Linked DNA regions of Canis lupus familiaris. The protein of the gene in region 2 interacts with the protein of the main gene of each other region in a pairwise test. Links are inferred from orthologs where the notes say so. Each region holds a gene or a part of one and is shown on either strand. Other genes may lie near its edges. The genes, in order: GADD45A and DCTN2.

Region 1 (4,411 bases), on a different chromosome or scaffold from region 2:
TCAACATAGCTTCCTTCTTCATTTTCACCTCTTTCCATCTGCAAAGTCATCTAGCTCCGGGCCCCCGGAATCTGTAGTTGAACTCACTCAGCCCCTTGACATCAGTTTCTGTAATCCTTGCATCAGTGTGGGGAGTAACTGCTTGAGTAACTACAAAGGTATTTCAAAACTTCAGTGCAATTTGGTTCAGTTATTTTCATTCAGATGCCATCACCGCTCAGGGAGGTTAATCACTGGAACCCACTGATCCATGTAGCGACTTTCCCGGCAAAAACAAATAAGTTGACTTAAGGCAGGATCCTTCCACTGTGAGGAATGGGGATTCTGGAAACAAATTGAGAAAAATACATTTACTATTAAAAAAGAAAAAAAAGGCAACATTTGCTAATAATTACACTCATTTCGAGGGAAAGACAACTTGAGCATTCTGTACTTTGGCTGTGTGACAAGAGACCAGTTACAACCATAAAAAGATCAACTTTTTTCTTGGTAGCTGATTTCTGGGGAAACCACTACGTAATGCTCTAAAGCACACCCTGCAAGCCTGCATGCATGCAGCCCTCCGCACCGCGTACATGGGACTGCAGGATGTTTACTGCGTTTTTGCAGGAAAGTAGCAGAGTAGCATTCAGAGGCTTGTCCCCTGGAAGCCACCTGAGCGAGAAACAGCTCGGACAAAGATCTCCATGCCCCGAGCCCAGGGAGAGGCGAGCCCCTAACAGTTCGCTGGAACTGCCACCTGTCATCCTCCCCAAAGACAGGGTGGTAGTTTTCAGGACACGCAAAATGATTAAGCCGCCACTTACCTAGACCAGCCCATAAGTAGCAGAATGTAAAAGACAAAACTGTCCTATTTATCTCTGGAAACACAAGTCATCTTCCCACCAAAGGTAGTCATGGGGGGGGGGGGGGTCCATTAAAAAAAAATCCAAGATTGCAAATAAAAAACAATCCCCATTCCGTCCTCTTCGTGTATTTCTAGGGAATTAATAAGGTCGGTCTCCTACACCACTTCTATTTTTAGCTTGGAGCGCTGGAGGACGAAGCCGACTCCTTAATGAGGGGGAGCCAGGAATTTATTTGGCTGAACCTAATCTGCCTGCTAAGGGAGTCGGTCACGGGAGGCAGCGCCGCGGAGGTGGGGAGGGGCCGCCCTGCTGACTCACGAGGCTCCTTCCCCCGCGGCTCCCGCGTGCTCGGACACGTCCCGGCCCGCCCGCCCGCCGGGATGGGGCCACACCTGTCGGCTGCGGTCGGGAGCTCGGCCCCGCCACCGACCCCGGGGCTCACCGGCACCAGGACCCGGTGCACCCCTGCGCCCCCCCCCACCGCCGTCACCAGGACGGTCCGGCCCTTCCCCCGTGCACCACCTCCGCACCCCTGTGCACCACCCCCCATGCATCACCCCCCGACCCCGTGCACCACCCCCAGCCCCGTGCACCCCCGTGCTCCCCCCCCCCCCCGCCTCACCGTCACCAGGACGGTCCGGCCCTTCCCCCGTGCAACCCCGCGCACCCCCCCCCCCCGCCTCACCGTCACCAGGACGGTCAGGCCTTTCCCCGTGCACCACCCCCAGCCCCGTGCACCCCCGCGCCCCCCCCCGCCTCACCGTCAGCAGGACGGTCCGGCCCTTCCCCGTGCACCACCGCGCACCACCCGCAGCCCCGTGCACCCCCGCGCCCCCCCCCCCCCGCCTCACCGTCACCAGGACGGTCCGGCCCTTCCCCCGTGCACCCCCCCGACCCCGTGCAACCCCGCGCACCCCCATGCCCCCCCTCACCGTCACCAGGACGCAGTGCAGGTCCGGGGGCTGCTCGGCGCCCTCGCTCGCGGGGCCGGCGTGGGGCTCGAGGAGCAGCAGCTCGGCCAGGCGGCCCGGGTTGCTGACGCGCAGGATGTCGATGTCGTTCTCGCAGCAGAAGGCCTGGATCAGGGTGAAGTGGATCTGCAGCGCCACGTCCCTGTCGTCGTCCTCGTCGGCCGCCAGCAGGCACAGCACCACGTTGTCCGGGTCGCTGCGGGCGGCGGGGGCGGCTGAGCGCGCAGGCCCCGGGGTCCCAGGGTCGCGCCCGCCCGCCGCCCCCCGCCCCCGGGCCAGGTGGGGGGCTCCGCGGGGGCAGGTGGAGGACTCACTCCCCGCGGGCAGGTGGGGGGGGCTCCCCGGGGGCAGGTGAAGGGCTCCCCCGGGGTCGCCTGGAGGGGCTCTCCAGGGGGCAGGTGGGGGGGCTCCGCGGGGTCGCCTCGGGGGGGGTCTCCGGGGCAGGTGTAAGACTCACTCCCCGGGGGCATGTGGGGGGCTCCGCGGGGTCGCCTGGGGGGGGGGGGTCTCCGGGGCAGGTGTAAGACTCACTCCCCGGGGGCAGGTGGGGGGCTCCCCGGGGTCGCCTGGAGGGGCTCTCCAGGGGGCATGTGGGGGGCTCCGCGGGGTCGCCTGGGGGGGGTCTCCGGGGGGCAGGTGTAAGACTCACTCCCCGGGGGCAGGTGGGGGGGCTCCCCGGGGGCATGTGGGGGGCTCCGCGGGGTCGCCTGGGGGGCGGGGCCCCACTCACACGTTGAGCAGCTTGGCCGCCTCGTACACGCCGACGGTGATGGTGCGCTGACTCAGGGCTTTGCTGAGCACCTCCTCCAGGGCGTCCCCCACCTTGTCCATCCTGCCCGGGAGCCAGCGCGGGGCGCGTCAGCCCAGGCCCGGCCCGCCAGCCGCCCTCCGACCCCATCGCCCTCCCCGAGGCCGCCGCCAGGGCCCGCGGGGAGGGGCGCGTCCGCCCGCCCGCCCGTCCGTCAGTCCGTCCGTCCGTCCGTCAGTCCGCCGGCGCCTCGGGGGCGGTGCCCGGGGCGGGCGGGGGGCGCTCGGGAGGCCGCCGCCCTACCTTTCGCTCTTCTGCTCCGCGGCCGAGAATTCCTCCAAAGTCATATTGCAGCCGCGGGTCCGCCCCAGGGCGCGGCGTGCGGGCTGCTCGGGCCTCTGCGGGCGCGCGGCGCCTGGCGTCTGCACCGCGTCCGTCGGCCCGTCCGTCCGCCCGTCCGCGGCCCCGCTCCGCCCCGCCCCTGCGCCCGCCGCCGCCGCCGCCGCCGCCGCCGCCGCAGCCACTGGGACAAAGGCCCCCTCGCCGCCCTTATGGGGCCGACCGCAGCCAATCACCACCCGCCTCATTTGCATGCGCACAGCCATTGGGTTATGCAAATCAGCCTGCTCCGACCATGTGACCCCGGCTCCAGGACCCGCGGGGAGAGGAGCGGAAGGGGGCGGAGCCACGCGGAAGGCGGGCGGCCTAGGGGGCGGGGCGGGCGGCCTAGGGGGCGGGGCGAGCGGCCTAGGGGGCGGGGCGGGGAGGGGGAGGGCGGGGCGGGGAGGGGGAGGGCGGGGCGGGGAGGGGGAGGGCGGGGCGGGTCCGGAGCCGACTCTGATCCGGTGGGAGGCTCCGAGGAGGGTGGGGGGTCTCTGCAGCGGCGGGGCAGAGGGGTGCCTTCCACTTGAGCCCCGAGCAGGCTGCCAACTGTTTTTCTGGTTGGTGCACATTTTTATTTTATTGTCGTTTCATGTCTTTTGTTTTTAGCAGTTGCTATTAAAGTCTATTTCCAGGGCTAATGCACCCAAGTCTAGTAATTATTAGTAAGCAGGTTACATAAAAAGAGTGTTTCAGACCTCTGGGGCAAAGTTGACTTCAGAAGTGTTGTTTATGTAAGTCTAGGCAAAGCTGCTTATTAGTAGTAGTATTATTTCGGTGCCCTGATGGCTGGTTTGATTTATTTTTGGAAGGTTGCAAGGGTTGGAAGCTCAAAAAAGAAAAATCAACACATTTGTGTTTGGTAATGGCACGGAACCAAGCTGGAATCTTTTCCACGGAAAGCAGAGAGGCTTCCCACCTGCCCAGGGTGACTCTGGAAACCGTGGTCAGGAGGGGGGCCGCATGTGCAATTGCTAGACTTACGACCCAAATTCACCTTTCCCGAGAGCTTTTCCCAAAGGAGGACCCTTCTGCACCTGCCCCAGCTAAGAGACACACACGTCTGACGCCCACACAAGTCTAAATTCAAAATACTCTCAATATGCCCTGAGCTTCCTTTCATAAGGCAAGTATGTCACTACCTTCCACAGAGAGCCTGTGATCTCACTGTGAGTTATTGATGTTAGATGCTGAATCATGAAGCTGCAGCTATAGGACCTTTTAGTCATACGCTAAAATTTCACCTTTGAGATAATGGCAACCTGTGGGTGGAAAGCAAGCAGAAGTTAACACACTTCTGAAAAGCAGACTTCAGTGGATAGACTTTGACTTCATAGGTTGAAAGTTCTCGCCTTTGTTTTATGAGTGTATGCGATAAATGCAGAAACAAGTCTTAAACCTATTGAAGTCACCAAAAGTGGTGAAAATGCCTCCCATATGCTCTCATTCGAAACAGTGCTTTG
Region 2 (4,554 bases):
TCCTATGCACTCCTATGCCGTCATCCTGGGTAATATGCTGCATATGAAATGAACACTTCCGGTACCCCTGCCTATCAGTTACCCCACTAGATACTACTGAAATAGGCTGCTCAGGCTCAGTGGGGAGAAACAGCCAATCAGGGTTGCACATTCAGGTGCTTCCATGCCTGTCATCTTCTTATTAAAAAATATCCCTATATTTTCAAAAGGAAAACTACAATGTATTTTTTGTTTTGGAATGGGGATTGTTGTCATGCTGCCCGTTTGTATCACAGCCAGTGACAAATGGAAAAACTTACATTTATTATCTCACCATGAAGGCTTGATACTTTATAGGCAGAAGCCTAGGCCAGAGTTGAACAGTCTCTGAAATGGGTCAGAGGACTGAGCTTATATACTCTTGTTCTGTGAAGTTAAGGCAGCTTCCTAGTAACATACATCTTGGAGTGATAGGTGTACACCCAGGTCCTTGAGCAATGACAACATCTGCATTATCTCCAGATACTCAAGCTTGGGGGACAGATTGACATGCCAGCAAGTACAGAAGCCACAAGGAACACATCACTGAGGAGACAGGGAAGGTGTTCCCACAAAGTAGGAAGCACTTCCACATGGGGAAAATCAAATAAGGAATAAGTGAGTACGCCAAGCCATACATTATGAGCCAGCAGCCAGCATTCTTCAGGACTAACCAGCCCCACAGACATAGCCACAGGACTTACAGACACACAGACGGAGCCTGCTTCATCAATGTGACCTTAGCCCAGCTCTCTTTGGAATAGAAGCCTAAAACACATCTTGTAAAAAAAAATGCTAATGGAACTTTGTTCCCCTTGGCACTTATAAACAAATGTTTACTATACTGATTTCCATTCACTCCATTTTGTTTATTCCACATATCCTGCATGTATCCTAACTCCCCCATGAGCCTGGGGCATCCTGGAAGGCAGGGACATTTCCTCCTCTGCATTGCACAAAAACCAACACAGAACGAACATATTCAATAAACAGTGCTAAAGCGGCTCCCCTCATGGTTTAAAATGAGTTCCCAGTGAATTTCTTCCTTAGAGTTCTTCTTGTATCTGAAAGTGCTAAGGAATCTCCTTTGCTCCTAGGAAATATTTATGTTTTCCCTCACATTTGTTTTACTCTGACTAGATCCCTCATCTTTCTAAAATCTCCACATCACTTTCTCACTCTTGGCTTGACAGATATTGGCTATTCATGTAAAAAAGCATTCCTCTTTACTTCAAAATCTAGCTCCTGGTAGGATACTAATGAACATGTCTCGAGTGAAACAGTTTATGAAATCAAAGGTCTAGTTCCTAACCTCAAGTAGTTTCCAAGTGTTCAGGCTTCACGATTCATTACCGTAGCCTAGGACCCGGGGGCCTGCCTAAATCACTAGCCCCAACTAAACTGTTTTGAGATATTTCGACTTTATTTAAAAAGACCCAAGAATCAGGTCTTGTTAATTGTAATTCCCTCCTTCCTGGCATTGTTCACTGGTGGCTGTAAGCCTGCAATCTACATACATCCCAGGCTGGGTTGGCATACCCGCTTATTGCTGTGGCTCGCCAGGAAAGGGAAAAGGGTCTGCCTGGGGGACAGAGGTCAGGGTCCGTAAGAGTCCTGAAGCAGCACATAGCCTTACCGCATCAAACTCTGCTTGATCATCTTCAGGTAGGTCGCTGGTTTCATAAACATCTGGCTCGTTCCTGGCCTGCAGACAGAAGCAGTGACCACCCTACCTCACTACCCCGCATCCACCAATACCCCTGACCCACTCCATCTGAGCAGGCTAACAGAGAAGGCAGGCTGTGCGGCCAGGATTCGGTCCCTTGTCTTCCCCCTGCCCAGTGAACCCTATGCCAGTTCCCATGTCTTAAAGGCTGGGGATGACAGGAGGCACAACTGGGACCTCATGATAAGTGGTGAGTGTCAGTGATGACAAAGATGTTACCCTGAATCTGACTGGGGGCGGACCCTTGGCAACTATTACGTCCGAGGTAGAAGAGGGCTGTCTTTGCCTTAGGCCCGTATCCCACTACCCTGGCACACAGGTGGAGAGTGACTCAGGACCTTAGCCCTCAAGGTCCTGTGGCCCAACCCCCACCCTTGAGAATGCAGGCAGGGCAGCCCAAAAGGAGGGTAACAGGCCGGCAGGTGCGGGCGGGGCGGGGGGTGATGGGGGCAGAGTTCTCTATCGGGCACAAGAAGGCTGCTGCCGCGGTCACCTCCTCTTCGGCAGCGTGGAGGCCACACCAAGTGGCCTGGTACGTGTGTTCGGGTGGGGGTGGGGGAGATCTGGGGAGACACGGGCGGTGCTGACACGCACGGCAGTAACACTCGGGCGCAAGTGGTAAGCGCCCCGAGACGGTTTCTGGGCGGAGAAATCGGCGAGGGCCGGGAAAGGGGCCTGGTAAGCCACTCCGCGACCGGCCAGGTCGGGAGGGAAGAGTCCGGACGGTGCTGGGGGCCGTCGGGGAGCCGGCGGCGGCCCGGGGCCAGGCCGGGCTGCAGGCCGGGGGGTCACGGGGCAGCGCCTGACGGGGGTCCTCGGAGGTCGGGGTGCGGCCCTGGGGAGCCGGGGCTGGCCCTGTACTCACAATGCCGGGAAGGTCGGCGTATTTGGGGTCCGCCATGGCGGCGGCGAGGCGGGGTTGGGGGACCGGGGCCTCGGTGGAGCCGGGGCCGGTGTTCGGGTAGGGGAGAGGCTGGGTCCGAGTCCCGGGCTAAGGCGGCGGCAAAGGGAGCGGCGGAGGAGGCGGAGGAGCAGGAAGTCTCGCGACAGGAGTCGCACAGGAGAGAGACGGGGAAGGCAAAAGTCGCGAGAACAGCCCGCTACCACACCCCTAGAGAGGCCGGGATTGGCGAGAACGCGGCCAGGGAGTGAGGTAATGGCGGGGGACGCCGCCTAGGATTGTGGGATTTGTAGTCTTGGCCCATTCCCCGCTTGGACGGAGAACGGCAATAACGCACCTTGGGGAGTTATTTCACACAACTTCTTTTCTTTTCTTTTTACATCAAGTCTCTGAAACACATTTTATAATTCCTGTTTTTCAGTTGAATACATTTGGGTTTCCAAAGATTAAATGACTCGATAAAAATAACGCATCCTGTTATGCCGTGGCACAGACAGGGCTTCAAAAACAGTAATAGCAAGTAAAATTTAGTAAAAGCTTAGTCATGTTAGGAATTTAAAGGATAAGTAATCTTCTCGAGTTGGAGCTATCAGATAAAATACAGGGCACCTAATTAAATTTGAATTTCAAATAAACAACTACTAGTTTTCTTTAGTGTAAGTATGCCTCATACCATATTTGGGACAAACTAACACACATACACTATTAGTTTTTTTTCATCTGAAATTCAAATTTAACGGGGCATTCTGTTTTAGTTTTTCAAACCTGGCAGTCTTATTTCAAGCTCAGAAAATAGTCAAGTGGTGGCTGTATGTCTGTCTGAACACCCCCTGTGCTCTTATGCACTTCACTAATAGTTTTCAAACTTCTGAATTTCACAGTTCGATAAAATTAAAACAACAGCAAACCTTTTTGAGGATGGACATAGCATTGCTACCTTTTAATTTTGCCAACTAACTGCATTAGAAAAAGAAAGGCTATTGTTTAACCATCATTTCTTACTAGAAAAGTAGGAAGAACATACTCTCAAGAAAGTCCTTTGACACTTTGTAAGTCTAGTTTGTGAAAAACCTACTGCATTGTGTGTGGGTGGGTTTTCTTGGGGGGGGGCGTACCCAGTAAAGTTTTTGTCCCCGACCCTCCCTAGACAAGTTTTTTTTCCCCCCTTTTTTTCTAGATAAGCATTTTTTGTTTTGTTTTGTTTTGTTTTTTGAAAGTCCATTAAGGCTACCACCCTAGAGTCCCTGGGGGCCTGAGTTTGGGATGTTTTCCAGAATGTTTCCTGAGCTTGCAGGATGCTGCAACACTTAGAAATAGTGCCAGACCAAGTGACTGGAGAGATGCTTGTGTTCCTGAGTTTGGAACTCATTGTCATTCTATGCATACTCTCCTGGCTGCTCCCCAGACCTCTACCTCTGTTTCTACGTAGTCCTCCTGGCTTGTCATCCAGTTTCTTGCGCTGGACCCATTTCCTTCAATTTCCATAAGACTCAAGGTGGGTGAGAGGTATAGGCCTGATGTGGGGAAGCCCTCAGCTGAGTTCTGAGCGGTTAGCTCTTGTCTGACCAGGTCACCATCCTCTCACTCTTGCCTCACAGTGTCCAAGTGACCTTAGACAGTTGCTAGGGAGAACCTCCATCCCCTCCTCCCTTCTCCCATCACCACACTCCTTCCCTTGGCCTGGAGCCTCAACTCTTGCAGTCCAACTCTCTGTTGGCCAGCAGAGGCCTGTGACGTGGAGCAAAAATCAATTTGGCCAGCTTCTAGGTGGTTCTGCCCAGGGGCTGCAGCAGGAGTCTGACCCGAGGGGAGGGGAAGAAGGACAAAGACTCTCTAAGGCTTGGCTTTTTTTTTTTTTTTTTTTTAACTAGGTAAGGGGGAGAAACAAAGCAAGCCCTGAGAAAGGGGC

What was found.
Region 1: the proteins of DCTN2 (region 2) and GADD45A interact in binary tests that used the Homo sapiens proteins (3 or more experiments, as listed by UniProt). The link is inferred for Canis lupus familiaris from reciprocal best matches to the Homo sapiens genes DCTN2 and GADD45A.

The regions. Positions count from the first base shown.
Region 1 is NC_049227.1:77,928,924-77,933,334, forward strand, and holds the start of GADD45A (growth arrest and DNA damage-inducible protein GADD45 alpha), read right to left. Parts: upstream 3,065-4,411; 5' UTR 2,915-3,064; coding exon 2,871-2,914; intron 2,652-2,870; coding exon 2,550-2,651; intron 2,016-2,549; coding exon 1,781-2,015; intron 325-1,780; coding exon 211-324; 3' UTR 1-210. UniProt on the Homo sapiens protein: In T-cells, functions as a regulator of p38 MAPKs by inhibiting p88 phosphorylation and activity.
Region 2 is NC_049231.1:1,985,490-1,990,043, forward strand, and holds the start of DCTN2 (dynactin subunit 2), read right to left. Parts: upstream 2,815-4,554; 5' UTR 2,646-2,814; coding exon 2,610-2,645; intron 1,724-2,609; coding exon 1,655-1,723; intron 1-1,654. UniProt on the Homo sapiens protein: Part of the dynactin complex that activates the molecular motor dynein for ultra-processive transport along microtubules. In the dynactin soulder domain, binds the ACTR1A filament and acts as a molecular ruler to determine the length.